Xenopus tropicalis: one gene and its partners. The protein of the gene in region 2 binds, or shares a complex with, the protein of the main gene of each other region. Links are inferred from orthologs where the notes say so. Each region holds a gene or a part of one and is shown on either strand. Other genes may lie near its edges.

Region 1 (10,842 bases), about 24 Mb from region 2:
TATTGGTCGCCTCTTCAATCCACCATACACGTACCAAATATCATACAAAAATTGGTGCATGTATGGCCAGATTGAAGCAAAAGCGAGGCCCATAAAAAGTGCCATGAAATAGAAATACCTGTCTGTATTAGATTCTGAGACCAAAACAGTTACATATTTGGGTTTTAGTCACAAAGTTTGTGTGGGCCTAGTGCCCCCTCCATTTTTAGTGAGCATGTATGTGTCATATCCCTGTTTCATGAAATCCGTCTTATCTATAAATGCAAATGGAAACTGGAGGAAGAAGGGCCATGTTCATGCAGAGTGCATTTTTTCTCCACAGGATTGGAAAGAAAAAGAATACAGGTCCTTTTCAAAAAATTAGCATATTGTGATAAAGTTCATTATTTTCTGTAATGTACTGATAAACATTAGACTTTCATATATTTTAGATTCATTACACACAACTGAAGTAGTTCAAGCCTTTTCTTGTTTTAATATTGATGATTGTGGCATACAGCTCATGAAAACCCCAAATTCCTATCTCAAAAAATTAGCATATCATGAAAAGGTTCTCTAAATGAGCTATTAACCTAATCATCTGAATCAACTAATTAACTCTAAAAACCTGCAAAAGATTCCTGAGGCTTTTAAAAACTCCCAGCCTGGTTCATTACTCAAAACCGCAATCATGGGTAAGACTGCCGACCTGACTGCTGTCCAGAAGGCCATCATTGACACCCTCAAGCAAGAGGGTAAGACACAGAAAGAAATTTCTGAACAAATAGGCTGTTCCCAGAGTGCTGTATCAAGGCACCTCAGTGGGAAGTCTGTGGGAAGGAAAAAGTGTGGCAGAAAATGCTGCACAACGAGAAGAGGTGACTGGGCCCTGAGGAAGATTGTGGAGAAGGACCGATTCCTGACCTTGGGGGACCTGCGGAAGCAGTGGACTGAGTCTGGAGTAGAAACATCCAGAGCCACCGTGTACAGGCGCGTGCAGGAAATGGGCTACAGGTGCCGCATTCCCCAGGTCAAGCCACTTTTGAACCAGAAACAGCGGCAGAAGCGCCTGACCTGGGCTACAGAGAAGCAGCACTGGACTGTTGCTCAGTGGTCCAAAGTATGTCATTCGGAAATCAAGGTGCCAGAGTCTGGAGGAAGACTGGGGAGAGGGAAATGCCAAAATGCCTGAAGTCCGGTGTCAAGTACCCACAGTCAGTGATGGTCTGGGGTGCCATGTCAGCTGCTGGTGTTGGTCCACTGTGTTTTATCAAGGGCAGGGTCAATGCAGCTAGCTATCAGGAGATTTTGGAGCACTTCATGCTTCCATCTGCTGAAAAGCTTTATGGAGATGAAGATTTCATTTTTCAGCATGACCTGGCACCTGCTCACAGTGCCAAAACCACTGGTAAATGGTTTACTGACCATGGTATTACTGTGCTCAATTGGCCTGCCAACTCTCCTGACCTGAACCCCATAGAGAATCTGTGGGATATTGTGAAGAGAAAGTTGAGAGACACAAGAGCCAACACTCTGGATGAGCTTAAGGCCGCTATTGAAGCATCCTGGGCCTCCATAACACCTGAGCAGTGCCACAGGCTGATTGCCTCCATGCCACGCCACATTGAAGCAGTCATTTCTGCAAAAGGATTCCCGACCAAGTATTGAGTGCATAACTGAACATAATTATTTGAAGGTTGACTTTTTTTGTATTAAAAACACTTTTTTTTTATTGGGCGGATGAAATATGCTAATTTTTTGAGATAGGAATTTTGGGTTTTCATGAGCTGTATGCCACAATCATCAATATTAAAACAAGAAAAGGCTTGAACTACTTCAGTTGTGTGTAATGAATCTAAAATATATGAAAGTCTAATGTTTATCAGTACATTACAGAAAATAATGAACTTTATCACAATATGCTAATTTTTTGAAAAGGACCTGTATATGGTAGATACAGCTCTGCTCCCAAAGCAGAGTTAACTGATGCCAATCTCTTATTTTGCAGGTCATTTGAATTGTTAGTGAAGGATCTTGATGGAAAAAATCACACCATGACTGTGAACAATTTACTAAAGCCAATTTCTCCAGAGGGTAGCACAAAGAAAGTAAGTCTTTCACAGCTGTACTTGCACTGTAAATATTATGCTCTTAAATGCATGCGTATATGAAATTTTGAGACAATTATAAATGCCAGAAACAAAATTACAAATTCCATGATGCCTTGAAATAAGAGGGCTTATTTACAAGAAGGAAGGCAGGGTGCAATGTACAGTGTTTTTAGCACTTTGCACCATCTGTACTGTTCACTTTTTAATCCCTGCATTCTTCACACCTCAGGCTCAGACTGTAATCACCCGCATTGTTCACCTGTTCACACCTGTAGGAGCAGTGCCAGCATTGTGTCACTGTATGTTGCCTGTGTGTCCCATACTCTGTCTAATTTATGCTGTGTGTGCGCCACACACACAGGCAGCATAGGGCAGGCAGAATATGGCACACAGGCAGTACTCTGCCTGCCCTATGCTGCATGCATGTGCCATACTCTGCCTGCCCTATGCTGAATGTGCATGCCATACTCTGCCTGCCCCATGCTGCCTGTGAGTGGTGAACCTGGCAGGGGTTTGTTCTGAAAGTTTATTAGCGTTTGATAATAATTATATGCCGGGGGGTGCTGTGCTATCCACACGGGAGGAGGAGGCATATGGATTTAAGTGTGTTACTTAATATAACATTACATAATTATTTCACATATGAATAAAGGGTAATATCCCTACAGTGAGCACCAACCATTTGGGTTTTTGCTGTGCTACTACCATTAATGTGGGTATGGTCTTGATAACATGGGTGTGGTTTAAAAAGGGGGAGTGGTCAAAACTGGCTTCCATTATCTGTACCACAGACCTTGGACAGCACTGCCTTATAACATCATATGTTAAAATAAATAGGTCTCCATGAATTAATTAATTAGTTATATTAACACTTGTTTGTAAACAGTGCCTTTCCCATTAAAAGTAAAAAGGATGGTGCTCTTGGGTAGGTAATGGAGAATGTTACTACCTCCACTTCATCAGTGGGCTGTGGCCATAGGCTAGGCTATGGTGTAGAAGTTGGTTTTGACCCCTATCTATTTTTTACTATTTCACACCCACACATGGGATGGTTAATGCCCTCATTATCTGCTTAAGTATGGGTGCCCTATTATTTATATTGGCTGTTTCAAGGTTAGGTATTGAGAGGAGACCTAATTAATGACAGAATAGATTTGTCATCCAGAAACTAGGCTTATCACTAACTAAAAAGGTACATTTTCAAAAAAAAGCTTTTAAAATAGCCCCTTTGTGGATTTTCATTGGTATGGCCTGAGCACTTTTGTAGACCCATCAGGCCAACATCTGATCTGGTGCATTGAAGCATATCACCAAGTATATACAAGTTTGTGGCTCATATGAAAGTGTGTGTTGTAGTCTCCTGTAATCAGTTTTAATCCCAAACACATCTTGTGGGCATACAGAAGCTGCAAAATGAGTCCCTACATAATGCCTTGCAGTGCAGTAATCTCATTGGATGCAAAATATGTTCTGAATACATTCAAAAAATTCCTACTGTTTAATATTCTTCTCATATAGGTGAAGACAGACACAGTGCTGATAATGTGCAGAAAGAAATCTGAGAATAAATGGGAATTCCTAACACAAGTCGAGAAACAAACAAAGGAAAGAGAGTAAGTATCTTTACGATTCTTGGATCGTTTACAGATAAATTCAGTTTTTATCACGTGTTCATGCTGGAAGCTAATTTCCTTCAACTAGCACTCCTCAAATGATGGTACCTCCGACGACTCTGTTTTTAATATACTCATGTTCTTTCAATCAGCATGGAAAATACATAACATATAAGGCATTTTCATCTCTGTGAAAGGTCAGCAATTAAAGCTATATGAAAATGGTGTCTGCTTTTGGGAACAAACCAAAGAACTACTGGCTAGGAAGCTGCCTCACTATCCTATTGGCCATCCAAGCTTGTCACTGCCAACATAATTGAGGTTGCTGTTCAAGTTTAGGTATAAATCTATAAAGCTGGCTATACATGCACCAAAATAATTTTAAGAAACATAAGGGCTGACTAAGGTGCGTTAAAACGAGCGCTATTTATAGCATGCGTTAAAAATTTTGTCGCGTCTTAACGCATGATTCACTAAAAGGATACTTGCGTTAATTTAGACGTGATGCTGTTTGCGTTAAGTCACGAAGACTATTTTTGTGCGGTATTTGACGCAACACGCACAAATTGTCATCGTGCGAAAAAACGCTAGCCATACACGCCATTACTTTCGTAAAACTACTTTTTAGAAAATGACCATTTCCCTGCAAACTGGAGGCTGCATCACTCTAGGGCCAACACATAATTACCGCCTGCCCCAAGTAGGTGTTAATTTTCCCATAGACTAATGCGATATTTAGCGCGTCTAAGGGGCACATTTACAAAAGCATGAACGCTCGGAGCGTTCATTCAAACGCTCCGAGCATATTTTTGCCGAATTTTTCGGGCGTCCGCACAACTTTTTCGTACGCTTGCGCGAAATAAACAGGCTTTACCGCTGTTTACAATGGTTCGGTGCGTAAATTTTGTGACTTTCGGATCGCCAATACGATATTATCGTGACTAAATTTTCATTTCCAATCCAAATTTTTCCCATTCGGGATTCGAATTTGTGGATTAGTAAATCTGCCCCTAAGGGGCTGATTTACTAACCCACGAATCCGACCCGAATTGGAAAAGTTCCGACTTGAAAACGAACATTTTGCGACTTTTTCGTATGTTTTGCGATTTTTTCGGATTCTGTACGAATTTTTCGTTACCAATACGATTTTTGCGTAAAAACGCGAGTTTTTCGTATCCATTACGAAAGTTGCGTAAAAAGTTGCGCATTTTTCGTAGCGTTAAAACTTACGTGGAAAGTTGCGCATTTTTCGTAGCGTTAAAACTTAACGCTACGAAAAATGCGCAACTTTTCGCGTAAGTTTTAACGCTACGAAAAATGCGCAACTTTTTACGCAACTTTCGTAATGGATAGGAAAACTCGCGTTTTTACGCAAAAATCGTATTGGTAACGAAAAATTCGTAAAGAATCCGAAAAAATCGCAAAACATACAAAAAAATCGCAAAATACCGATCATTACGAAAAAAACGCAATCGGACTCCATTCGACCCGTTCGTGGGTAAGTAAATCAGCCCCTAAGTGTTTGTGAATCATGCATTAGTATTATTTCTGCGCGCTAATTAATGCAATGCGGTAAAATTAACGCGTTTGGTTGTGCACTATTTAACGCACGCGATATGCAACTTAACGCATGCGATAATGCGCGTTTTTTTGACCGTCAATTTTAACGCAAAAAACCATCCAATAAGCGTTATCGCACTTTAGTAAATCAACCCTATAGTTTCATACAATTTTTGGACTGTGTGTGGTTGGACAGGTTAGAAAATTTCAGGCAGATAATATCTGCGCATGTATTATGTGCATTTGCAGGAAGTCACTTTTGCACGATTTGTGTCTGCCAACTATTTCATGTGCAGAACATCCTCCGATTTGTTATTTTTAGGACTTTATCCTACAATTTCATACTGAATATTAGTTTTTGATAGTTGCATTTAAGCGTATGATCAATATCATTCGGCAGTAGAAGACTAAAATCTGAATGTAGCTTTTTATTTTATTTATTAAAGAAACTACAAACATTCCTTAAACCTAAAGTTTAAACAAAACACAAAAAATTAAAACAGTAATGTTATAATAGCTCAGCTGGACTTCACACTAGTGAAACAACTATGCACAGACGTACTGTATTATGACTTATCTGTGAAATAGGATATTGTAACATACTGTATTTTTTTCCATTACAATTTTTTTTCTGACTCCAAAACCAGTTACCCAAATTTGCTTCCAACTCCACAGCTCTGATTTTTATTGTACAATGGATCTAAGTTATTTTGAAGATTATTTTGATCACTTATTTTTTATATTTGGTGTTCATTGTCATGTTTTTGTATTTTAAGTTCAGTGTAACATAATTTAAATCTTTTTTTTTTTTTTTTAGGAAACCAGCACTAGACACAGATGGAGACCCAAGTGCAGGATTAATGAATGTCTTAAAGAAGATATATGATGATGGAGATGATGACATGAAGAGAACACTTAATAAAGCTTGGGTAGAATCACGAGAAAAACAAATGAAAGGCGATCCTGAATTCTGAACATAGACTTCTCAGTGCTTACGCCTTAAATGATGCCTACGTCCAGGAACAGTCCTCGTTTTAATGCCTGGAGAAATTATCTCTTCTTACAAGTCTATTGTTTACAATTCGCTTTCCTGACATGGAATTCGCTGCTGTTGCATTTCATGCCAATTAAGATTAGAAACTGCATGGTTCATATGCCTGAAACATTCATTTGTATACCTCTATCTTCCTTTCCTAGTAAAAGTTTTGAATGTCTGTCCTTCTGTCTTTAACACTTAACAGGCATATGCGTAGGGAATATGTATACATCTCTCATAAGAGGCTGCTTACAGCTACAGGTGTATTTATGCACCAGGGACGCCGCTCACTTTGCATGAACTTATATGCAGAGTAAATTTGGCCTCAGCCTGCTGTCATTGAAAGGTTAAATGTGAAAATCTGTTAAAATATCAGGTTACAAATTGTTTATTAAAGAGACCCATTTCAAACAGGTGTGCGGGTCTTTGTTTTACAAACTAATGTACCTTACTTGTACACTGTATAGCTTTTCTAGATCAGACAAAGAAAATTAGTGGTGCACTAGTACATACCATTAAGAATGAAAGAAAGCATCAAGAATGTTTATGGGAATCCCTACCCCTACATCCCCAAAAGTGTTGAGCTTTAAAACATTAGAAATCGTGAAAGGACAAATAAGGTTAAACTTAAAAACATTAAAAAAAAAAAACTAGATATAACTATATAAGTTTAAGAGGCAGAACTCTCACCACTTAAATGATTTGTAAGTTTCAGAAGTGCTCAAAGAAGCAAAGTTTACATCAATTCATTTTTTGGCTTTAGATCCCCTCTAGGGAGGATAGACCATACAATTCTGCCCCATACTTTCCCACTGCCACTGTTTAGTTTCCATCTTTATGTGCCATTCACCAATCTTAAGGGAGAATGACTTGTGATAAATTCAACAAATTACAATATTAAAATGTTAAAAATTCTACCTCAATTATCTGCAATTCTCTATAAGAATCCTAACTTTTCTTTCTCTCCCTCATGTGGATCAGGGGATGTGAAAAATGGAAGATTGTTTTGACACTTTTTACTCATTGGTAGTGGATATGTAACCCTTCAATAATTTTGGAGATGTTTGGTACAAGTACTAAAATAAAAAGTACAAAGTTTCTTATGTTTGCAATAAAAGAAAATGGTATTTAGTCTTGTTTTGTCTTTCAGCATAGATTCTCCCGTATTTTCACCTCCCCCAGATGTCTCAACACTCTTCTTGTGTTCTGGCAGTTTCAGTGTTAATGAATTTAATTAGCAATAGTTTTAGCAACTCTAAAGTTATGGATTCTATGGAAGATGGCCTTGCCTTAATTTGGAGCTTTCTGGATAACAGGTTTCCAGATAACTGATCCCATACTGTTTCACTGAAGCAAATTCAAAATGGAGAAATATAAACTACTAAAAAAAAAAAAAAAAAAGGTCTTTATAGCATAAATTTCCATTCAAAAGGATTCTCTGCAATGTAATTGTTGCTTTTAATACAGATTTTTTTTAAATACATATAAATAAGCCAGGTTTTGTCAAGAATTGTCAACAAAGAATGCTCTTATGATACTTTAATTAAAAAAATGTCCTTAGTAAATGGTAGCCCAGTAGCTTCGACAGTTGGCCCTCAAATCCTGTTCCTACCACATGGCTCTCTGAATGCCAGACATTTGGTTGTTATCGGCTAGATGACGGAACACAATTCGACTTAGCCGCCAACGTCTTTTTACACCCCGTGGTCGAGAAGTCAGGACACAGCGATTACGGATTCTTACAGGGCAGCTATCTACTGGAAATGCAGCAATTTCTTTATCTGCCACTTCCTGTGAAAAAAAGAGAAACAGATGATTTATTTTTCCCCAGTTTAATAAATGTTCAAAAAGACACAAACATCAGAGGTAAGCTGGCCATATACTATGTGTAATTTTTGGCCAATGAGCCCAAGGGGTTCTTGATCAAACCTGCCCAATCAGATCCATGTGTGGCCACTTTTAGACTGATCCTTGGTGAGACAATTGGCTGCTGTAGTATCACATTAAGCTTTATTTATCAACTTGTATAATGACCAGCTTCTTCATTTACTATCTTGGCTGTGCTTTGAAACAGAATAAGTTATAAACATGCACCCAAACTTAAGAACATGTTAATAATTACAATTTCTTGCCTTACAAAAGCATAAGAACGACAAATGTACACCATATAAAAAAAAGTTACAGGGAGTGAGAGCAGATAGATTAATGCGTACTTAGCATTGAATTATTGTGTGCATAATGTTGTGGGATTGTTATTGTAACAGCTTGAGAGCATTAACCCCCACATGTAATTAAAGGCACTAAGTTTGCCCAGGAGCAGTAACCAATAAGATGTTTCCTTTTATACAGGTAACCAGAAAATTCTACCTGCTGATTTATCGCTATGGGTTACTGCTCCTAGGTAAACTTAGTGCATTTTACTGCATAACCCCTTCAATTAATTGGCATATGCAACCTCTAAAGCATGTGTGTGATCACTATAATCATTTTAAGGAGTAGGATATAAAGTTGTTGTTTGTGATCACCCAGTAGTCCAAACCAGAGGAGAGGAACAACCTTCAGATGGTTAGAACAGGTGGTTTGTAGCATCTTGGTAACCGTATTTTTCAAAATCAAACTACCAACTATAGTATCTATAGTAAATATGGGGCATTTGCTCCGATGTACTGAATTGCTTAAATAAAATACCCGCAGTTCTTTAGGGAGAATAATGTTTTTCCGCAAAGCATTGACTCTCAATCTCTCATCAGCGTATTCATATGCCATTTTCCTCCTTTTAACATCCCGAAACATCCTCCAGTCAACGTAGTAATTTCGGACTTGATTTGTACAAGTTGCAGAAGGCCAAGGAAACAACTGAAAAAAAAAAAGATTTTTTTTAACAGTACAGGTATGGAACCTGTTATCCAGAATGCTTGTGACCCAGGGTATTCCGGATAAGGGATCTTTCTGTAATTTGGATCTCCATAACTTGAATCTGCTTAAAATCATTTAAATATTGACTAAACCCAATAGGGTTGTTTTGTCTCCAGTAAGGATTAATTATAGTTAGGACCAAGTACAAGGTTCTGTTTTATAATTACAGGAATCATAGAGAAAAAGGAAATCATTTTTAAAAATTAGAATTATTTGCTTATAATGGAGACTATGGAAGATGGCCTCTCCGTAATTCGGAACTTTCTGGGTAACGGGTTTCCGGATAAGGGGTTAGAATTATCGATTAATATTGTAAAGTATTTCTGGGGCCATACATATCATAATCTACTTGTTTGGCCATTCTGATAACAAAAAAAAATGGATACTTCTGCATTTTGGCCACTGAAGTGTAAGCCAATTCCAGATTGTCACTCTGGGCCTGCTACTGGTACCTTTACGCGTGTTTTCTCTTGGAAAGGAAAAAATGTTCATCCCTATAAGCTACTGTAATGAGTCCCTAGCGTGGGTGGTGAGGGATGTAATTAATAATAAAACAAAGTCTACAGCATTTGGAACAAACATTCCTCCCCAAAAATGCATTTATTTCAAAGTTTTCCAATACCCTAAACATAAATGGCTGCTGCATATGTACCATTTAAAAATGATCAAACGCACATGTTGGCCAAACCAAACATATTACTACTCTTCTATATATTTATAATATAGTACCTGGCCACGCTCTTGAAAAAGTTGTAATGTTAATTAGCAAGATAAAGGCGTATAAACCTCCAGTGAAGAAAATATAAGCCACATGTCATCACTGATGCTATTTGAGAGGCCCCGCTACTCCTATTTTACATGTAAACAGGCCTTATTGGGGCGCTTAGTATCTGGCATAGGTTCCCAGACATGGGACTTTTATTCACTTGATTATAGGAAATACATTTTTTTTAATTATAAGTATTTAGCTGCCCCCCATTCAAAGTGTTTATTTGGCAAAAACAAAAGGCTCCATATAACTTGTGAATATATAACATTGGTGAAATACCCCAATGCTAGGCTGCACGGAGAGTAGCACTACCTTCCATAATTCAAATAAACAATACTAGAGGACTCTTATTTTCTTCAGTTATCCCTGAGATTCTTCCGCTGCCGGACTTCCAAGGGCAGGGACCCTATTGCGTGTGAGTGCCGCTGGTATCACTACACCCTTTATTTAGCTCTACTGATTTACTCATTGTCTTCCTCCCCGCAGCCCTTTATGCCCACCAGCCTGTTGTCAATGTCATCGTCCCATTTACCTGCCGAGCGCTTCGAAACACACTCCCCAGCATGGAAGCCGCCATCTTGTTTTTAGACGCTATTCAAAATCAAGCAACTTTGTTACTTACAAGCGGCGTGGCTTGTATAGACTTACAATGGTGTGAACTATGCCATTGCGCCAGTAGATGGCAGCAAGCTTTAAGATTGTAAAAAAATCCGCTGAAGGTCATCCGCATTCGAATTTATATATGAGGCGTTAGAAGTTGGAGCTTGAAGCATTTTGACCCAATTTGGGCCTCGTAGATTATAAGGCTGGCACAGTCTGAATGTTATTATATTTATTCTAGTAAGTGCAAAATGCACA
Region 2 (11,422 bases):
GCAGTAGAGTTTTCAGAATCAAAAAAAAAAAATTTGTTGGTACAGTTCTTGGATCCATTATCCGGAAACCCGTTATCCAGAAAGTTCTGAATTACGGGAAGGCCATCTCCCATAAACTACATTATAAGAAAGTAATTTTTAAAAATGATATTATTTTTTTCTGTAATAATAAAACAGTACCTTGTACTTAATCCCAACTAAACTATAATTAATCCTTGTTGGAGGCAAAATAATCCTGTTGGGTTTAATTAATGTTTAAATCATTTATTAGTAGTCTTATGGTTTGGAGATCCAAATTATGGAATGATCCCTTATACGGAAAACCCCAGGTCCCGAGCATTCTGGATAACAGGTCCCATACCTGTACTCTTTTTTCCGCTTCCTGCAAAAACATAGCAGTTCTTCTGTCTCCTGTTATGACTAATGCTTCCATATACATTTAGGAACAGTGCAATAATCATTTAAGTCTTTTTGGAAGATCACAATAATGTTGCCATTATTTACATTGAAATCACTAGGTAGAAAAGGCTCTACCAGATGTTTTTATGAAAAAGCTAGTAGTGCAGCTTCTGTTTGTTAAATTGTTGGTTAGAACAATATTATAGATCAAATCTGCTTCATTCCTTAGCAGTTTCTTTCTAGGCCCAGAATGACAATCTGGAAATTCTAGTAATTGTCAGGGAATCTGGTGTAAGCTGCAGGCTATATATTCAGGCCTGTGTGGGGTTACACAGTTACATAGAAAATTTGGCATGAAAAACAGACCATCAAATTCAACCTCTCAAAGTGTACTTGAAATGCCAGTGCATATTTTGAATCTCAGTCTGGACATGTTTCTTCCTTTGTACATGTAAATGGTGGTTAGTTGTAATTGTCTCATCTAGATTCTCTTGTTAATGTCAGTGCAGGAGATGACATGGCAGGAGATGAGAGATGCCAGGTGAAAATTCATTGCAGTAATAGGATCTTGAGTTTCACACCCCTTAAATATGTAATTTGTGTTAATTCAAACTAGATACAAATGATATATTTAAACAAAATGCAACAGTAAAAATAAACCTGGGCAAATAAAGACCAACAAAATCACAACACACACTGTACATGTTCCTATGCACTACACCTACATACAATTTTGCCATGACTATGCCATCCTTCCTATCAACGGGAGGTTCCCTTCAACAAGCTGCTACATGTTCTGTTTGTCTGCCAAGTTTCACCTCTGCCCTGAGATTTGTATGGTGTGTTTAACACACAGAACATGTGGAAACTTTTACTTGATGAACTATAATCATTTGTTCATTGATTCCTAATTTGCATCAGTATGTTTACGCTTAACACTTCAGGGCTCTTTTATAAAGGAAAGAGCCTTTTCCTTGTTTTGTGATTATTTATTTTACTTTGTTGATGGAACAGAATGGGGTTTGTTCATTCATAGTTGAATTCTATATATCTGTGCTTTTAGATGGCCCTTTATTATGCAGTAAAACTGTTTCCAGTTCCATAAGAATTGGGAAAAGAAAAACACCGTTACTGTATAACAGTCCAGGAATGTAAAAAACTGGATAGTTTTAGTAAAACAGAACAACCACAGTTTCAAATGCTACAGTATACAGAGCTTGCTTTATTTTTTAAGGCATTGCAATTAACCTGTTTAAGTTTTTTGAAGACTGGATGTTGTATGTAATAAAGCACTGTTGGACTGAGCTTCCTAAGGCCCACCAAAATAAGCTCAATATCTAGGGCCTGCCTAAGAAACATTAGATAAAATACACTAATCAGTATTGGTGCAACATGAAAATATGATGGAAAATGGTTCATGAGTAGAGAACCACATTTAAAAGGAGACAGAGAGAAGATGGAAAGGCATTTTGGCATTTTACTGCCTATAGGTTAGCCACATTAGTGCCACCTAGGACTCTATATATTTTCTGCAGAAAGCTTTACCATACCTGAGTAAAGAGCCCTAATAGCTCCTTCCGTTTAAGATAGTAACTGCCATTTTAGCTTGGTCTTTGTAGCTTCCTGCTGCAGCTCTAACTGTAGCTCAGATCACACATTCCTAAGGGAGGGGGGAGTGAGTTATTATGAATTATTATGGGAGGGGGAGCAGGAGAAGGGAGGGGGAGAGGGAGAGAGGCGAGAACTGCACAGGTTTGTGCCCCAAACCTAAAGGAGCCCTAACAGAGAGGAAATCTGATACTGAAGAACATGTTTACAAAAAAATGAGACAGGTAATCTGTGTTTCTTTTGATAGAGGACTCAGTGTAACTTTTCTGTGAGTGCTTATGGCTGTATTTACATAGACCTTTCTGATACAGCTTACTTAGTTTTTACCTTTTGTCCTTTAACTTTTCAACAGCTAAGTCTCTGGTCCCCGGGACCAGAAGCTCAGTAAGCAGAAGGGCTACCGCAACCCACTTCCATGCCTGCACCTTACCTAAAAGTTTTCTCAGCAGGCCCCCCTGTACTGGCTTGTACTACTTTTAGTACGCAGCCCCCCAGAGTGTGTCTGGGGGGCTGCATGGCCTAGTGCTGAAGCACTATTGCACTTAATGCAGGAGCAGTTCTGTGGGAGGGAAGCATACAGTGGATATTAAAAATCTACACACCCCTGATAAAATGTCAGGTTCCTGCGCTGTACAAAAATCATGGAAAGTTAAATCATTTCAGACCTTTTTCCACCTTTAATGTGACCTATAAACTGTACCACTCAATTGAAAAACAAACTGAAATCTTTTAGGTGGAGGGAAGAAAACCAAAAAAACTAAAATAATGTGGTTGCATAAGTGTGCACACCCTTAAACTAATACTTCGTTGAAGCACGTTTTGATTTTATTACAGCACTCAGTCTTTTTGGGTATGAGTCTATCAGCATGGCACATTTTGACTTTGCAAGATTTGCCCACTCTTCAAATCTGTCAGATTGCGAGCGCATCTCCTGTGCACAGCCCTCTTCAGATCACCCCACAGATTTTCAATCGGATTCAGGTCTGGGCTCTGGCTGGGCCATTCCAAAACTTTAATCTTCTTCCGGTGAAGCCATTCCCTTGTAAGAAAAGGCTTTCGTCTTGCCACTCTACCCCATAGCCCAGACATAAGAAGAATACAGGAGATTGTTGTCACATGTACCACACAGCCAGTACTTGCCAGTCCTGCAGCTCCTTTAATGTTACTGTAGGCCTCTTGGTAGCCTCCCTGACCATTTTGGAGGGACGTCCAGTTCTTGTTAATGTCACTGTTGTGCCATATTTTCTCCACTTGATGATGACTGTCTTCACTGTGTTCCATGGTATATCTAATGCCTTGGAAATTCTTTTGTACCCTTCTCCTGACTGATATCTTTTAACAATGAGATCCCTCTGATGCTTTGGAAGCTCTCTGTGGACCATGGCTTTTGCTGTGGGATGCGACTAAAAAAATGTCAGGAAAGACAAACTAGAGCAGCTGAACTTTATTTTGGGTTAATGAGAGGCACTTTAGATCATGGCAGGTGTATACTGACTCCTATTTAACATGATGTTGAATGTGATTGCTTAATTCTGAACACAGCTACATCCCCAGTTAGAAGAGGGTGTGCACACTTATATGCAACCACATTATTTAAGTTTTTTTGGTTTTCTTCCCTCCACCTAAAAAATTTCAGTTTGTTTTTCAATTGAGTGTTACAGTTTATAGGTCACATTAAAGGTGGAAAAAGTTCTGAAATGATTTATCTTTGTCTCATTTTTGTACAGTGCAGGAACCTGACATTTTACCAGGGGTGTGTAGACTTTTTATATCTACTGTATATAGTCATGGTACATTAATTTAATTTTCACTATGTTATATACTCAAAGTATATAGATATATGGTTATACCTTCAAACCAAAGGAAAGCTCCAACATAATAGCACTTTGTCAAATAGGCCAAATACAAAGGAAGCAGTAGCTATTAAATGGTATTCTCTTTTCTATCATAGGTTTAAAATCTTGCAATATATTACATGGGGATGCTCCACTGAAGTAAAATTGTTGCTGATTTTTGTATACACACTCCTCGTCTAGTTAGTTTTGAATCATATGAAATTTGGCAACAACGGGAACCAAATTTCCCAATTATCTTATATGTTTATGACATTATTGGGGTAAATTTCATTTTCCTTGTTTCTTCTATTGATTGTATCCATTCCCATTTCATTGGTGGAGGGTTTTTTCAATTTCCTAGGAACCAGTGTGCTTGCTGCTTGTAAATACTAATTTGTCTTGGACTATTCTTTTATTTACTCTAACAGAATAATGTTGATTCCATATTGTTGACATTATGAACACCTTTCTCCATCATGCCTCTGGCACTCAGAATACCATTTTTTTTAGACTGCTTAATATTTTTGGCACATGTGCATGTGAGACGTACAACGTGCTGGTGCGTTTTGTGCTCTTTTAACCCGGCACTTCTTCAGGCGACCTAAAAAACATTTTTTCCTAAAAGGATGTTATTTTTGCAATATATTATATGTATATCTATCTATATATATATATATAGAGAGAGAGAGAGAGAGAGAGAGAGAGATACACAAGACATACATTAAGACCATTGATTGCAAAAACATGGTCAGTGATGTCAACTCCATATTATAACTATGGGGCTTCCCTAGTGAGCAGGGCCTGAGGGCCAGTTAGGGCCCAACTGGGACAGATGTCTTTTTGCTCTTCTAATAATTCCTTGAGATCAGTTAGGGTGGGATTTTAAGTAGTCACTGGCTTACTGTCTTAGATATTACTGGAAACGTGGCTTTGATTAAGGCCCCGACCAAATGTTGCACCTTATTGAAATACCCTTAAAAATGTATTACACGATACTAATTCAGTCCCGTTTTTTTTTATTATTTTTGCGTTACGCTAAGAGTTAACTTAAAATAATGAATCGAAAGTCCCTTCAATGGTTCATTTGTTCCATAAAGCAGTAAGGTTGGCAGGCATCTGCTAACGACGACCGAGAGAGTATATAGATTCTTACAGCAGAACAAGCAAACAATTGCCATTTACCCGTGCAAATTGTTGGTAGGCGTGGTATACGCAAGAGGGCGTGGCTTTCTGCTCGACCATCTGAGGGCAGCCTAATCCGTGGCGGGAGCGCGCCGTGTTAGCGCGGGAGCAGTGACGCCACTCTTTGTGCCCGCGCACGCTCGCTCCCTCTGCAGTGTCTTTCTGTGGAAGTAGGGGGGGTGCGCGCACTCGGAGTACGGGGGACGGCGGCAGCTCCACAGAGATAAGGAGTGGGAAGCAGACCCGGTAAAGGAGCCGTCTTACCGGCGATAAAGGATTTTGTGACCTATCTTCCGGTATCCTGTGAGTGCGATAATTGGTGCGTCACAGTGGAAGCCGAACAGGAAGCGGCATAATAGCAAAGCGGATTCCCTCCTGGGGAAGGTGAGCGCGGCCCGTGTTCTATGAGATGGCAACACTGCATCGGGAGCCAGGATAGCTAAGCCACGGCCCTTCGGCTTTTGTCGTACCATGCAGATCGGGGATGCTGGGAGTTATGGTAGAGCTACATTTGGAGGGCCGCAGGTTGGACTCCGACGCTGTGTATAAATCCTGTCTCTCAGGCGCCCATGGGATAATGCACGGCAGGAGGAGGGGGTGGGGGAGCCCATATTGCTGTGTATGTGGGGGAAGGGTTAATGGATGTTTCCTACACGTGTGGCTATGACATATGTTTGCATACAGAGAAAGTGGCTGGCTGCTGCAGACCCCGACCTTTCTCTATTTGTTTTGTGGCTTTTTATGCAAATAATGTTGGCAAAAGGATTATATGGGTGTCTGCTTATAATGGTATGACATGGCAGCCCCATTGCTGTGGGTTTCTGCTCTTTCTTTCCTTCTGTCAAATACTCCCACATTGCATCATCAGCCCTGCTGCACTTGCACCTTATGGGTGTTCGGTGTTGAAGTGGCAATCTGGCAGCTCTGTCTGGCTAATGTAAATAATCAACACACCCTAACCGCATCATCAGCCATTTGTTAACCCCGGTCATTGTCCCTGCCTATGTAGCAGCCTGTATTGTTGCTTCTAGTGTTATTGTCTTGTTGCCAAACCAAGGCCTGTGGCCTAATCCCTCCTGTGTGTTTTCCCCTCCCCCTTTCCTGATCTGTGTCCTAATTCCCCCCCCCCCCCCCCAGAGAGAAATCACTCGCACTATAGCTGCCTTCCGTTCAATTGTACAAATCAAGGGGGTGCTGCTTCTTGTTGCAGACAATGCTTTTTTTGTGGATGTAGTGACATGTGATAGTTGCTGTGTTGTGAATCCTGGCATTTATGAATCCCCCCCCCCCCAGCTCTTGTACTACAATTCCCAACATTTGGCTGGAGTTGTACACCTATTTACATTATTTCCTTGTTGCTTATTATGGTTTAACAACTAGAGGAGGGGTTTAAGCGGACACCCTTAATTTCTTTCTCATAATTAATTATTTTTCATAAACACATGATTTCCAAAACATCCAATGAGAGTTGCATCCTGGGAATAGCACGGATTTAAGTGTAAGAGATGATGATGATGTACCTAATGCACAGTATCCTAGTACTCCTGCCCACATGTCGAAAACAGCGGTATTCATGTTGAGTTCTTGCGATGTAAAGGAATTTTTCTTTACAAACATTTCAGTTGTTGAGTGGTTATACCCTCTCTTTCGATAGCAAGAGTTATCAGTGCAGCCGCTAAGTGTGATGCATCCGGTCATAGCCTTGGAGTTGTTGTAACTGAGGAAGCACAAATGATTTCATTTATAGGTGATTGTTCTGTTTACTGTTTGTGATGCTGCTTAATTACTATAAATGATGCAACATTTGTGGCTTAATGAATTAATCCTCTGTTTTTAGATTGTCTGTTCAACAGCACTCGGATACATGCTTCATTAGGGTACGCACCTTTATTGTATATCTCTTCTTCCTTATGCAGCTCATTTTAAAGATTAAGTGATAAAGATGAGATGCAAAATGGTGCTGCTAACACATTTTTTTTTTTTAATGCTGTATTGAAAATATTTTTTGCTTTAGAGCTTAGAAGCTACAAAAAGCAATACATTTCTTAGAGCTGGTGGGTAGGAAGTTGTGTTGAGGTAAGGGATCTATTTTTTGGATACCCATTATTCTAAAAGCGTTGACATTACACAGTTTCCTCCTCAAGCAGACGGTTACTCACTTTTGATGGATTTGCCTTTCCTCTGCAATAAGACTATAACTGTTACTTGATTTTAAGCTAGCATAAATCCATGTTGGAAATCAATTCTATTAGTTATTTAATGTTTAAAGTGTTTTAAACATAAGGCCATGGTGCCTCATAGTGATAAAACACCCCTTAACCTGGAAAACTCCAGAACTATGAATAATCAATATTAATTCTCAAATGTATTTCTCTTCTGGTGCCCTTTTCCATTTTGTTTACAGTGAGTTTGTATTAACTATTTGCCTAGTGTTTTGTATAGGGATGCATGGAAATTAGCAATTTGGTATTCGTCCGAATCCCTTAATTCTTGGGTATGGATTCACCCAAACCTGGAAGTTCCCAAAGATGAAGTTGGAAACACCGGTGTGCACGCTTCGTGTACAAGGCAAATTTTCTCCACCAGATTAATTTTGGCCAGACTGCTAAAAGTAGCCAATTCAGTGCATTCCTAGTTTTACTTAAGATTATATATTGTTTTTGTTAATCTCTTAAAAGGAAGAAGGTTGTTTAATAAAGAGCTCCTTATATGTAAAGTTGGAAAGGGCTGGCCATGTTTTAGGCTGAGGGTACACAGAGTGTTTCCTCTCCTGCTCTTAGCCTGAGTTTTTTTTTTTTCTGGTTTCGCATTTTCAGATCAATTCTTACTCTGCTCTACTTTGTGTAGCTGGGCAGAGGCGGAAGCTGCACTTGTCAATGCAGTTTTACTGAGGTGCATAAGGGAGCGGATCCACTTCTGAAATAAACACAGTTTTAGGTAGAAATACTCAACGTGTGCCTGCACCTGAGCGTATTCAATGCTTTTTGGTGCAGGCACAAGGAAGGGCAAGCGTAGGGCAAGCGTAGGGCAAGCGTTTTTCGGCTTGCTGAGAATACGCAACGTGTGGCATTAGCCTTATGTGAACTGTTTATTATAGGGTAACATCAGCTGTTTACATTGCACACGCATGGGGCTTGGATAAAATGTTGGTACTGTATGCTTGTGTTCATGTGGGGCCCCAAAGTTTCTGATGGCAAGTCGCCGGCGGGATGGCAGACGCGGCGGGGCGATTCGCGCGAAATCGCTCCGCCGCATGTGCCATCCCGCCGGCGACTTACATGTTCGCCGGTGGGATGGCAGGGGTAGGCAACTCGGGGAGATTAGTCGCCCGCGAACAGGGAGTTAATCGCGGGCGACTAATCTCCCCCCGTGTGCCAGAGCCCTTAGCCCTACAGAGACCATTCTATCTTAAAAAAGCAAACTCCAGATTCCAAAGGGGGGATAGGGGGGTGGTAGCACAGCTTAAAACTACAAAATATATACACACACATATACCTTTTAAAAAAAAAAAAAAATGAACATATGTATGTATATAAGTGTATATTGATGCAGCCAATATCTGCCCTTTGTATGGGCACCTTGAAGGTGTAAATGATGTTGGAGGCATTGGCCACATTGTTTCTAGCAGGGACCCTAACCAGTAATAGTTCTGCCTGTGCTAGACAACAGCAGTGTGACTTATCTAGTATTGGCATTCAGGATCCTCATAGAAGCACTTACTTGTAACTGCAATTAAGTTTGTGATTCCCAGTTTATGCAGATATTAGACTGGTTTTATGTTAAGTTTAAATCCCCTTGAAGATAGAATTTTATGTTGTAAGGGGGTTTGCTTGGAATCTTATAAGCAGCCACCAGAAAGAGTAAAGACTATGGGTCACTAATGTCCACTCCATGTGCCATTGTTTGTCCAAGATAATCTGTTTTTTCATCCACAATCCCATTATTATATTATAGGATTACATGATAGCTTTTCACAGTTGCTGCTGGAGGGGTTTCCATGATGAGTGATGCTTTGAAAATAGTAAAAGTTTACCTTATTGCAACAGTCCCCAACCAATGGTTTGTGACATGTTGTCCCAGTGTCTTAAAAACAGGTGCCCATTTGTAATTTTTTAGCTTGGAGATAAGTTTGGAAGCACAGAGAGACATTTTTACTCCAATCAGAGCCTCCTGCTGTGGCAGCAGTGCACATGGAGCTATCAAGTAGCCAATCACAGCCCTTATTTTGCATCATCAAGGACCTTTTTTTTAATGCTTTTATGACTCGCCAACACTTTTACGTCTAAGCAAGTCTCACAAGTAAAAAAGTTTGGGGATCCCTGCCTTATTATATGTATGTTTATTATGTTTATGGCCCAGCTTTATAATTTACTGTATATCTTGATTGGTTTTATTTCTTTTTGTCTGTGCATCAGTTCAGATTTTGCCTTACCTTTATTAAGCAAATCGGTTGCGGGAGTGTGTAAAACAAAAAGCACTGGAACACTGTGTAAAACATAAATTTAAAAGAGAATGGGATGATTTGCAAATTGTTTATATCCTATATTCAATTGAAAATAGTACAGAAACAACATATTGTGTAGGAACTGATGCCCCTTCTGGTACCATTACATTTGAACTGTGCTCTGATAACAATGAGGATGGCCCTTAATTTCCGTGATGGCATCCATGATTTCCAAAAAGAATTTCAAATTCTTATTTATCAGAATGTCTTGCTGGATGGTACAGATGCATGGTAGAGTTTTTACTTGCATTTAGTATTTCAGGCCAGATATCGGTCGGGCAGGCCCGTCGTTAGTGCCTATACATGGGCCGATTAGCTGCCGAATCGGTCTAAGGGACCGATATTGACAGCTAGAATCGGCCCGTGTATGGGGACCTTAAGTGGCCCAGCCTCTCTGGGATCTGCTCTTTTTGGCCTTACACCCTGTCTTTTGTTGCCTCTGTCTCAATTTTCTTAAAAACATGTTAATGGCATTAAATTCAAAATGAGAATTTGCTTTTCAGCAACACTCCTTGGTTTCACGATATGTTGTCTTTGTACTACTTGCAATGCAATATAGGGTTTAAATGATATGCAACTCAACTTTTTGCAGTGTTCCAACTAAAAAAACTGTTTAATCCAATATGTTAGAATCCATGATAAAAATATTTGTGTACATTTTAAATTAGTATTATGTTTTATTGAGTTTTATTTGTTGATGTTGACTAAAATAATATAGTCATTGTAAAGCAATTATGTATTCTCTTGGTTTTTTTAAGCAGTATCCAATGTCAATTATATTTAGACCTGTTTACCCATAAAATATAACATTTTCCTTATGTGCCATTTTTTTCTCTTTTTGGTATAGTTTGTGGGTTGGATGTTGCCTTCAGGAAGAACGGAGTGCACAGGACAAGAAATCCAGTGTAAAATAGAGGTAGGGCGAATGAAACATGGAAAAAAATATGTGGAAAAAAAATGAGATAGATTTTAGAACAGTAATGCTTTTATGCTAGTGGCACGAATAACTTTCAAAAGCTTATAATATAAAGAAAATTTTAGTTTTAATGGATGCAGAGGTACTTTTTATATTATGGTGTTTCCACTTTCTTGGAATTGCTTTTGTCTAATTTACACTGTGTGTGTGTGTGTATATGTATGTATGCATATATACATGGAACATTGTAACAACACACAACATTGCAGTACCATCAGTGACATAATTTTTATTGGATATCAAAGTTGCTGCTCATTATGGTATAAAACATTTATATGCCCAGTTGCCATCAAGGGACAGCACATTTTAGGAGGAACAGCTATTTGAACTGGTGCTCATAACCACTACTTTTTTGTTTTGCTCTGTGCTCTTCCTGGTAATGGTAATGTTTTAGCAGTAACCTCAATAATTCACTATCATACACCAAGTTAATGCAGAGCACGCTTCCTGCTACCAGTACTACAAAGTGTGCAGCTGGTTTACTATGTTTATTGCATTGTTGGGTAATCACCAATATGTAATAATCTGCATAGCTCCTAGTATGGGTTTGAACAAAATGAGTAATCTCCACCCATGTAGATTAAATGGTACAAATGGAAACCCTTATTTTACAAGCAGTTTTTTACCATGTGCCTGGCCATAATTTGATAGTTTAATTTGTTGTAATGTGGTGCGGTTGTGTATAGGGTTGCCATCCCACGCGTTTTATTTTTAGGGATTCTGAAATAAAATTGTTAAAGGGCTTATATTGTTTGCTTTATTGTTACATAATACAGTGTAGAAATAGGAAATTTGTTGTTTGCCTTAGAGATATTGTATCTAGTTAAGGTTGCCATACCTGGGGAGATATAAGCTGCTGATTTGGGTCTTTCAGACCAATTTGGCATCTTATCTGCCTGTGTATGGGGCCCTCTGACA
Region 3 (10,842 bases), about 63 Mb from region 2:
ATCTATCTACAGTGTAGCGCTATCTATCTATCTACAGTGTAGCGCTATCTATCTATCTACAGTGTAGCGCCATCATCTATCTGTTAGGGCTCAGCAGCATCAACTCTGTATGTACAGCCTCTTTGTAGTGGAGAGACTAATATTGTATGCTATTTTAACCATAACTGATGCACCCTGGATCATTATCCCCCACACTTTGTTATTGCACAATATTTTGTTGTATTGATATATTAAAGTGGGCAAACTATATTGCCCACAAGTATACTGGCCCTAGTAATAACAACTGCTACTTCTACATGTGTGTATATTCTCCATAGTATCCCTGCCGTGTCAGAAGCACTGTACTTATCCCTTCATAGAGACGTCGCCACAAAACCTAAAGCACTTTGCATTAACTAGGGCAACTAGAACAACACACCCAAACTTCCTTTTAATCATATGTTAACTATATATATATATAATATACACTTTATTTTGCTCTTGCTGAAGGTCCCTGTGGTGGCAGAAACATTGAGACACTATGAGGCATTATGTCAAGAAATCTGATTGATTTGTTCTTTAAAACAACAGTTAGGGATGACATTTTTTGTTTTATCTCAAATACCATTTCTTGGGCACCCAGGTTAGCTCTTTGGAAGTGGTGTGCACCATTTTTCTTTGTATTGTAGAGTGTGATATGTTGCTAACCATTGATTGATTAAAGGAGAAGGAAAGGTAGAAACTAAGTAAGCTTTATTAGAAAGGTCTGTGCCAGAGTCCGCACAGCTCTCTCCTCTCTCCTGCTCCCCCCTCCCTCAAGAATGCTAAGAACTCCCTCCCCCCCTTAGGAATGTGGATCTGAGCCAATCAGCAGGAAGCTGACTCATAGTCTTACTAACTGAGCATGTACACTGGTCTGGGTCTTGGTGCAGGAGTAAGGCATTATGGGAACTTTCTTTACAGAGCTCAGCATTTTTTCTTCCTGTTTGGCTTCTGAACATCTGAACAGGTGAAATATGGGGAGACTTAAAGGTACTATTGAGAGAACTGAAGGGTATGCCTGCAGCTTGAGATTAACTCTTTATTAGCCTTTCCTTCTCCTTTAAAACAGCAAAATGTTGATTAATTGGCTCTAAGCAAACCTTTCCTAATCATGGAAGGAGTATGGGAGAAACAGAGCAACCAGGTAATATTAGTAAGTAGGTTATAGTAAAAAAAGAAAAAAAAAGAATATATAGAACATTTTTGAATTAAAAGAATGGGCATAATATTTTTTTTAAAAAAAGGACAAGACATTTAGTTTGCTTATATATGGTGTATATTGCCCCTTTGAAAGGGTAGTTTTTTTTTTTTTAGTATACAGTATTGATACTTTGGCAGCGATACTTTGGTTGCTGGGGACTTGTGTACCCTAGCAAATAGGCAGTGGTTTGAATGAGACTGTGTTGGGTGGGGGCTTCTTAGCAAATTTTGGTTCGGAAGCCAGAGTTCCCCTTTAAAATGAGTTTCATTTTCTCCCGTCTCATGTTTAGAAGCAGCTCAGTGAGCCAGGGCACAAGTTTCTAAACTTGAAATAAACGTTCCGTTAAGGGGCTGAAACTGCGGTGTCTGGGAACTCATGTTTTTAGATATCACAGCTTCGGCCCCTACTGCCCAACTCTCTTGATGTTTGTAAAGTCTGTAACAGAGTAACTGTAAACATTGAAACATAAATGCCGGAATGTTTCTTTCTGCTGTAATGTATCAAATCGTAACTGATTATGTCTGTGACCTTACTGATCTGTCTAGCAAATAAGCTGGTTTTAAAACCACTTCAGTCCCTGGTTTAAGAAGTGTAAACAACTATTGAGTTTAGCCCAGTAGTTTGTTGCTAAGTTTCACTTTGTAGCTTGCCCTAGTATGTGTGAATACTGTTGGGCTATGATAATAAGATAATAATAAGGATACACACCCAAGCGTTTGCGTAAGTTTGAGACTTGCATTCTCAGGTTTAATGTCAGGGACTTATTAGTAAGGATGCGCCAAATTCAGGATTCTGTTCCGGATTCGACCAAGGTTCAGCCTTTTCCAGCAGGATCCAGCTAGGGTCTGTGCAGTTCTAGTTATGCTTTAACAGTGCAACCGTTCATGGACTACAGGCTTATAAAAGCTGAAGGGCTATGGTGTTGGTTTTGTAGTTTTTAAAAGAGAAGGAAAGATAAAATCACTGGGGGTGCCAAAATCTTAAGCTACTCAGGGCTGGTGTGGTTTTCTCCTTAAACAGGAGGACCAGCCTGGGGTATAAGATGAGCAATTACAGTCACTTGGGGTGCCTAGCATTTTGGCACCCCCCCCCCCCAGTGATTGTACCTTTCCTTCTTCTTTAGCTTGAAATATTACCTTAATGTTTTGCTTATGTTGGGTGACTACATGCTTTGGTTAATATCATGATGAAAGCATATTTTTAAGCATAAATATGATTACATTGATATGAGTTTGATTTTTTTTAAGATTTTAATGAGATATTAATATTAATCAAATATGTTTGTATTATTATAAAAAAAAAGACACTATGCTAATTAATTCTATTTGTTTGCAGATTATTTGTTCCTTAGCAAAGAGTTTACCCACAAAGAGTCGCCAAGATAGCCGGCCCAAGTAGAAAACGGCGAACCCCTGACCCAGATTCCGTTACAGATCCCGGGGGCCCATCTGTTTATACAAAGCGGCAGAAGATGTCACATCCTGCCGAGGGTGCCAATCAGAGAAGGGTGACTCGGGGCACGGCAGATGCAATTAATAGAAAGAAACAGAAAGATAAAGCCAACCAGGAAAGCAAAGAGGGCAAGGCACCGACAAATGCAGGCCCCCAAAAAGGTATTGTTTAAATACTGTCATAGGAAAACGTGTTTTTTCAACGCATCGGTTAATCCTGCATTGAAATCCATTTTCCAAAAACACAAACAGATTTTTTTTTTTTTATAAAAATAATTTTGAAATGTCACATGGGGCTAGCCATATTCGTCATTTCCCAGAGTGCCACAGCCATGCAACCTGTGCTCTGATATTTAGAAATAACAAGTAAACCACAAAAATCATGACCTTATCCCTTTGATCTCTTTGATGCATTAACCTCTGAAACATGTTTCAACAGCAAGTAGCAGCAATCAAAAGGTACAATATGCAGTAGCCCCAAACAACCTTGAAAGTTCTTTGTGACTGCCCTATTGGGATTGTTTTAAAAGGGAAATGATATGCCGTTTATAAGTAGCGCTTACATTTGCTTCCCAATTTTCTCGTCAAATACACAGACGGCTTATTAAGTAACATCTTTATGTACATTTGAGTTTATAATCTGTTGGTGTTTTGATTATTGCTGCCAATATCATGTCAAAGGAAAATGATATGCAAACTTTTAATAGCACAGTACTTTCTTTTCCAACATTACTGTTTTTGTTCAAGTCGCCAAGAAAGGAGTGGCTTGGAATGCAACAAAACAATAACATACATTTTATAATACTTGTATGCTTTATTTTAAATAAGTATAAATTCTAGCATGCTGATATATCAGCACAATTTCTAACCACTTGGAGATTATCATTATTCAGCAAATATTTACCTTTATAGAAATATACTACAGGTATGGGACCCGTAATCCAGAATGCTTGGGACCTTGAGTTTTCCGGATAAGGGATCCGTAATTTGGATCTCCGTCTGCTAAGAATCATTTAACCATTAAATAATCCCAATAGGATTGTTTTGCCCCCAGTAAGGGGTAATTATATCTTAGTTGGGATCAAGTACAGGTACTGTTTTATTATTACAGAGAAAAGGGAATCATTTAACCATTAAATAAACCCAATAGGGCTGTTCTGCCCCCAATAAGGGGTAATTATATCTTAGTTGGGATCAAGTACAGGTACTGTTTTATTAATACAGAGAAAAGGGAATCATTTAACCATTAAATAAACCCAATAGGGCTGTTCTGCCCCCAATAAGGGGTAATTAAATCTTAGTTGGGATCAAGTACAGGTACTGTTTTATTATTACAGAGAAAAAGGAAATCATTTTTGAAAAATTAGAATTATTTGCTTATAATGGAGTCTATGAGGAAATTGGCTTTCCGAAATTCGAAACTTTCTGGATAACGGGTTTCCGAATAAGGGATCCCATACCTGTACTAAATTAAGGGTAGAAATTACACTACCCCACTTTTCTGTTTCTAACAACATAATTTGTGTATTCTAATCCACTGAGATAAACGGTCTTGAACCCTTATTTCTCTTTCATTGAAGTGAATGAGTAAAAAGGTTGTACAGGTACGGGATCCGTTATCCAGAAGTCTTCGAATTACAGGAAAGCCATCTCCCATATACTCCATTTAAATCAAATAATTACATTTTTAGAAGTTGCTTTCCGTTTTCTCTGTAATAATAAAACAGTATCTTGTACTGGATCCCAACTAAGATATAATTACCCCTTATTGGGGCAGAACAGCCCTATTGGGTTTATTTAATGGTTAAATGATTCCCTTTTCTCTGTAATAATAAAACAGTACCTGTACTTGATCCCAACTAAGATATAATTACCCCTTATTGGGGGCAGAACAGCCCTATTGGGTTTATTTAATGGTTAAATGATTCCCTTTTCTCTGTAATAATAAAACAGTATCTTGTACTGGATCCCAACTAAGATATAATTAATCCTTATTGGAGGCAAAACAATCCTATTGGGTTTAATGTTTAATTTTTTTTTTTTGCAGAATTAAGGTATGATCCAAAATTATGGAAAACCCCAGGTCCCGAGCATTCTGGATAACAGGTCCCATACCTGTTATATGATGGTGCCTTAATTCTGTTAATGTGGGTGATACTCTGATACTAAGTAATATGGCTGAACTTCCTCCATATGTTTTTGATGTTGAGGTCATATATTTAGTATGATGGGATTTTCCTAATTCTAGCCAATTACAACAGGACTATCCGCAGTACTCATGCACACTGGCAGTTTTGAATATACTGAAACCAAATGGTCCAGTCTCATTAGTCACGTCAATCATGCACTGACCTCCATGTGGTTTGCATGCTGATTTTTTTGTACTCTAGTCCCTATTGGATTATCAAGGTTATGGTATTCGGCAAATGTAATGGAACCCTGATACATAGTCAGACAGCACGAGCTGCTTTGCTGAGCTGATCAGTGACCTTGAATTCTTACTGCACTTTCCCATAAGTCAGACCCGATTCAGCTAGCTGCCATAAGATTGTGTAGTGTGCATATGGTGCCTTATCTTGACATGCATACTATTATTTGTTTGTTGATCAGTGAAGGGAGTAGTATATTTGCTTGAAGCTTGGGCTAAACACCTATGGAACTAGGCTCCACCCCCTTAGTTGCTTTCACTTAGTATTTACTGGTAGTCTAGGCTTAATGTTTATTGAGATGTTTAAAAGCAATGTTTATTTTTCTCTTTTGCTGTGACTTGCGCATCATTTTAGGTTGTTTTCTCATAGAATATAATTTTATATCCAATTTATTTATTTTTTTATGACAGACATTGTGATTGACTGGAAGCAGAATTCAGAAGAAGTCATCGTGAAATTAAATGCTGGATCAAGAGCTTTAAATGTGGAAGAGCTGAATGCTGAATTCACAGATACAGATTGTGTTATTAGCTTCCCAGGTAAGCACTAAATGACCACAAGAATCCCTTTCTAATGGACTTTACCACCGATTGCAGCACACTGACCCAGTGGGAAACAATTCTGCTTCCCTACACTGGGGTGGATTCCATCTTGGGCACTGGTGTCCAGGTACTTCCTGTCTCCAAATACATTCAGGCAGGTTAATTGGCTCCTTATTAAATTGACCCCAGTGTTTGAGAGTTTAACAGGGACTTTAGACTGTAAGTTTCACTGGAGCATAGAGTTATTATATCTGCTTAAATGTGTTGGTATTTTATAATATGCAGATAATAATAGTAATAATAATATAGACAATATAAGAGCTGCCATGCTCAATACATTAGAAGCAGAATAAGCACACAAAACATTACATTTATTTTTAATATTTGCATTATTCCTACAAGAAAATGTGATCAGATTATAGAAAATTAAAGATAAATACTACTTCTAGAGAGAGTTTAGTCCCTGTTTGATTACTGATATTTTTACATTCTTGTTATATTTACAAGAGGTGGCCAAACATAGCTTATTCAGTTGGACAGTTTGCCTAGTTCTGGGGGCAGGTTTGACAGATGGAAGACTGCTGGATAGCTGATCTGTCTAGACTGAAGGGAGTAAATTGTGGCAAAGGTACAATATCTTAGACAAGTCAGTATGTGTATTGCTGTGTATTTACTGTGAGACTGGAGGGGACTATATCACATACATATTTTCTTTTAGAAGGCCAGCAATGGAAATGCCAATTTCATGAGGAAATTGAAGGTTCTTGCAGTAAAATTCAATATAAAGAAAAAGGCAATATCTTGCAAATCATCCTTCAGAAGAAAATTCCATTTAACAAATGGCCAACACTTCAGGTAAGGCTGCTTGATATTTTCCTAAATAATTTTGGGCTCTTAAACTTTCCATTTAGGAAAGAACCAATGAAAGGTAGACATGTTATTTTAATTCTGATTGTAATTTTTGTAGGTGGCCAGAAGAGGGTACTCTTGCATTATCACAGTTTTTGTTACTTGAAACAGTTGATAAAGCAATGGCTGCAAATATCTTGAATATTCAAGGTGCAGCAGTGCCATCACCACGCTCAGATGTTGTGGGGGTAGCACATTGTTTTGTTGGAATTGCTATAGCATGCTAAAAAATACCAACCTGACATTTCAGTGAGCATCAGAACTCATTATTCTCTCTGAAGAATGGGAACTGTATTTTCAGCCTGCTTTAGCTTTAAAAATAGAGCAATTTCTAATAAACAAAGTGACATTGGGTCCTGTGGATGTCACTAAAGCATAAATTAGTATTTAGGTAGCTGTCAGTATCACTTGATATGATTCATGCAGCCTACATCTCTACAGTATCCAACATTTATGCTTGTACCCTGAGAAAAAAGGGGTGTTCCCCTCTTAAGTATATGCTGCTGTTAGCTAAAGGCTATAAAGACATAGGTTCTGTACAGTATACTAAATGTGTTGAAAGCTCAGTGTGAGAGTCCGTTAGCCAGGGAAGTGCCCTACTGCTTTATTAACAGTTTGCTTCTTTATTTGTATTTTGGCTTTGTTTACACAGAAGAAAAAGAAAGAGTCCATGAAAGAGCAAGTAAAAGCTGGTGCCCTTATGGAAAATGGGAAACCTAAAGTGTCTTTAAAATTACCACTACCTGACAAATCCCAGACCCAACCATCCGAGAGCACAGATGCACGAAAGGGTAAACCAGACCATAGGAGTGTGAGAAGAGGACAAGAAACAACAGAGGCTAGCAGTGGAGTGAAGAGCAGCCTTACAAGGAAATCCATATCTACTGCAGTGCACAGTGGAGTCCAGATGAAAAGAGGCTGCCATAAATCTGCCTCTGTGATCGCAGGAGGGGATTCCAGTCCACAGAGTCAGAAAGTTGCAGGCTCTGAGGACCTTTCCAGCAGAGGACTAAATAAACGGAATGTCCAAATCCCTTCTGGAAATGCAACTTGGGCAGGACACAAGTCTGGAGACAGCCAAGCAGAGCTGCAGAATGCACAAAGGGACCAGGTGAGCTGCTGCTTTGGGATATGTTCATTACTTAAAAGTGACTTGTATACAGGTGCAAAGGAACCTGCTGACTTAGAGCTGGAGTTGGGGTGCCTCTTACCAACATCCATGGTGAGCACCATGCACGGCAAAGTGCATCCAGAATAAAGAATACCTTTGATTTTATTTACTTTCTGCCTATTTGTCTAATCTAATTGATAATTATTTCTTGTGTTTCTGTAGCTGCTATCAAGATGTTCTCAAGGGGTGGTTCACCTTTAAGATATTGTTTACTATGCTATAGAATGTACTGTTCCTCGCAACTTATTTTTTTATAGTTTTTGAATGATTTGCCTTTTTCTTCTACACCTTTCTAGCTTTCAAATGGGGGTCACTTACCCCAGCAGCCAAAAAAAACTATTGCTATGCGAAGTTACCATTTTATTGTTATTGTTACTTTATTCCTTATATTTCTGTTCATTCCCTCTCCTTTTCATATTTAAGTCTCTTTTTCAAACCAGTGCCTGGTAGCTGATGTAAACAAGGCCCTAGCAACCAGGTAGCTGCTGAAATTCCGAACTGGAGATCTGTGCAACAAAAAGCGAACTGAAAAATAACAAAATATGAAATCCAATGGCAAATTGTCATAGAATATCACTGTCTATATCATACTCAAAGTTAATCTAAGGGTGAACAACCCCTTTAAAGTGATAATGACACATTCCTGTAAAATCCATAGGAATGTGTATTACTTGGGGAGTGTACTGTAAACTATTGAAGCAAAATGCAGGGTTAAGGTGTCCATACACGTTAAGATTCGGATCTTCACCCGATATCCCCACCTACGGGTGGGCGATATCTGGGAGCGTGTAGGCTAATTCGATTGTTTGGCCCTGGGGCCAAATGATCAAATTATATTGGCGGCAATGGGACAGTCTGTTCGGGGACTGCATCAACGAGCCGATGAGGTCCCCGATCCGACTAGATTTTCTAACCTGCCCGGTTGAGATCTGGCCAATTTCAGGCCAGATAACGGTCGGGCAGGCCCGAAACGGTCTAAGGGACCGATATCGGCAGCTAGAATCGGCCCGTGTATGGGGGCGTTTAGGGATTTAGCAAAATAAACAATCACAGCCCTTATTGGTCACCCCCTAGGATTTTTTTTTCATGCTTGTAAACTTTTCCCATGAGTACCATCTTCAAAGAGAATAATGAAGTCTGCTACAAACTCCTGTATATAAGGGCGAAGTGCCCTGGTATGCGGCTACCTCGGGCTCAGGAACACATAACAATGCCAAATGCCTGATCAGTTTATTCTGCTGTAAGCATTGGTGTCAGTTAATTGGGTACAGACCCAAAGGTCAGCACAAAATCAATTTAAATTTGTATTGCTGTAAGGTAGGACTAGTAAAACTGAACTGCGTGACAACTATGTTAAGCCCCCATGGATACAGAGTCGTACAAAGAGGAGGCAATGTTGTTTTGTGAGTAATCACTGGCTGGGATGACTACTGCTCTATAATTATACGGCTTTGTACAGCAGTGCAGAGTCTGATTACACAGTGGTTATGTAAAGTGGAGCCGTTTCACTTCTGTCCTCCTCTGCTCTTTTTTTTATAGGTTTTCTAACCCTCAAAAAAAAAAAAAAAGGGGGCAACAACAATTTTGTTAAAGGGGAAATGTACCCACCTGTAAAACTTAAAGAGAAGATATACCCTTTTTCACATTAGCTCACTCATTCAGTTGTTCTTATATATATATAAAAAAAAAAAAAAAGCTTCATAAACACTGAATTTCAAACTACTAATTCCACTGATTAAAAGGGGGACCATTTCCCCACCTTTAAACTCAGAAGCTTGTGCAACCCCTCCCTCATCTTTTTTTGTTGTGATGTAAAGAATTCTGGGGGACTGTCTGCTTTCCAGAGAATCTGTGCATCACCTTCTATGGAAAGTGGAGATGCTTCAAGTCCCAGAATCCATCACTTTACAGTAAAACAGGTTGAGAGAAGAGTTTGCTAACTCATGTCAGAAAGCTGCACTTTCCAGCCCATACCCAGACAGAACTGAAGGTTACATTCCTGGTAAATATTCATACCACCAGTTTAAGACCTGCTGATATATTGAAATTATGAAAAATTGCCCTGAAGCATTTTAGCTTGACCTCAATAGCTTCTGTGCTGCAGCTCTGGCTGCTGGTAGCTCAGATTCCACAGCACAGTTGGGAGGGGAGCGAGTTCAGATAGGAGGGGGAGAAGCAGAAGGGATGGGGAGAGAGGAGAAAGAAGCAAACTGAGCAGACTCCTGCCATGCCCTGAAGGATTTTTCTGAGAGCAGGAAGTCTGACACAGAAGAACATGTGTACACAAGAGAAGAAAAGAAAATCCTGTTTTTCTTTTGATAGAGGACTCTGCAGCCTTTCTGTGAATGTTTATGGTTATATTTACACAGACCTTTCTAATAAAGCTTAGTAAGTTTTTACCTTTCCTTCTCCATTAATATCCTGATCCTTCAGCCCCATTGCACTCAGGTTGGTTTCAGGGGTTTGCTTCAGCCGCCATTGAAATCACTTCAAAACTCAGAAACACCTGGAAACAGTACATTGTTTCATAGGATAAAAACTTACGGGTTTTGAATTTACCTTACCATCTGTATCTGGTTCCATTCTAGGATCATTTAAATTATGAAAGCACTGTACGTAATGATGTGACCTTAACTATACCTAAAAATACATTCTAGCATGCAATTAACATATCTGTTTTTTCTTCTTGTTTTTGTTTCTAGAATAAAAGTTTAGGGAAGGAGAAAATGCCTGCGCTGGATCAACAGGTACTGCTCCAAGAGGCGGGACCAACCTTGCAACCTGCATGTTTACACGCTGTGGAGAAGCAGAATGCACCAATTGACCTGAATTCAGTTATTGTGGCTCCATGCAAAGAAATGCTCGCATCCACGTCTGAGCAAACCCTGGACTGTCAGCAGGAGCTGTCTAAAATGAACCTAAACTTGGAAGTAAAGGAAGTTGTAGTCAAGCCTCACTCGGATAGTGCACTCTCAGACGCTACAGAATTAGGTGGCCCTCCCAAAAAAGTGGATTCCCCTACTGAGGATTGTCTAGAAGATACAACAGAAGGTAATTTTTCTACTGGAAAAAAAATACAGGTGTCCACTACCTTCTAAGTACCCATTCAGTCATTTAT

Evidence for each region.
Region 1: the proteins of siah1 (region 2) and cacybp are in contact, whole or in part, in a crystal structure (PDB 2A25), measured with the Homo sapiens proteins. The link is inferred for Xenopus tropicalis from reciprocal best matches to the Homo sapiens genes SIAH1 and CACYBP. Residues at the interface, in NP_003022.3 of Homo sapiens: Leu158, Gln159, Asp162, Ile163, Val164, Phe165, Leu166, Ala167, Thr168, Val176, Asp177, Trp178, Val179, Met180, Asn276; in NP_055227.1 of Homo sapiens: Lys59, Pro60, Ala61, Ala62, Val63, Val64, Ala65, Pro66, Ile67.
Region 3: the proteins of siah1 (region 2) and usp19 are in contact, whole or in part, in a crystal structure (PDB 4X3G), measured with the Homo sapiens proteins. The link is inferred for Xenopus tropicalis from reciprocal best matches to the Homo sapiens genes SIAH1 and USP19. Residues at the interface, in NP_003022.3 of Homo sapiens: Cys130, Pro131, Thr156, Leu158, Gln159, Asp162, Ile163, Val164, Phe165, Leu166, Ala167, Thr168, Leu172, Val176, Asp177, Trp178, Val179, Met180, Asn276; in NP_006668.1 of Homo sapiens: Lys463, Pro464, Thr465, Cys466, Met467, Val468, Pro469, Pro470, Met471.

Annotation. Positions count from the first base shown.
Region 1 is NC_030680.2:98,118,317-98,129,158, forward strand, and holds the end of cacybp (calcyclin-binding protein), read left to right. Parts: intron 1-1,987; coding exon 1,988-2,087; intron 2,088-3,608; coding exon 3,609-3,703; intron 3,704-6,080; coding exon 6,081-6,237; 3' UTR 6,238-6,706; downstream 6,707-10,842. Other genes in the region: mrps14 (28S ribosomal protein S14, mitochondrial), read right to left, coding at 7,908-8,090, 8,988-9,155, 10,517-10,561. UniProt on the Homo sapiens protein: May be involved in calcium-dependent ubiquitination and subsequent proteasomal degradation of target proteins. Probably serves as a molecular bridge in ubiquitin E3 complexes. Participates in the ubiquitin-mediated degradation of beta-catenin (CTNNB1).
Region 2 is NC_030680.2:74,031,179-74,042,600, forward strand, and holds the start of siah1 (E3 ubiquitin-protein ligase SIAH1), read left to right. Parts: upstream 1-5,199; 5' UTR 5,200-5,408; exon of another isoform or gene 5,409-5,549; intron 5,550-6,866; exon of another isoform or gene 6,867-6,901; intron 6,902-10,375; 5' UTR 10,376-10,444; intron 10,445-11,422. UniProt on the Homo sapiens protein: E3 ubiquitin-protein ligase that mediates ubiquitination and subsequent proteasomal degradation of target proteins.
Region 3 is NC_030680.2:137,485,582-137,496,423, reverse strand, and holds part of usp19 (ubiquitin carboxyl-terminal hydrolase 19), read left to right. Parts: intron 1-2,557; 5' UTR 2,558-2,693; coding exon 2,694-2,835; intron 2,836-5,512; coding exon 5,513-5,641; intron 5,642-6,362; coding exon 6,363-6,499; intron 6,500-7,205; coding exon 7,206-7,664; intron 7,665-10,426; coding exon 10,427-10,775; intron 10,776-10,842. UniProt on the Homo sapiens protein: Deubiquitinating enzyme that regulates the degradation of various proteins by removing ubiquitin moieties, thereby preventing their proteasomal degradation. Stabilizes RNF123, which promotes CDKN1B degradation and contributes to cell proliferation.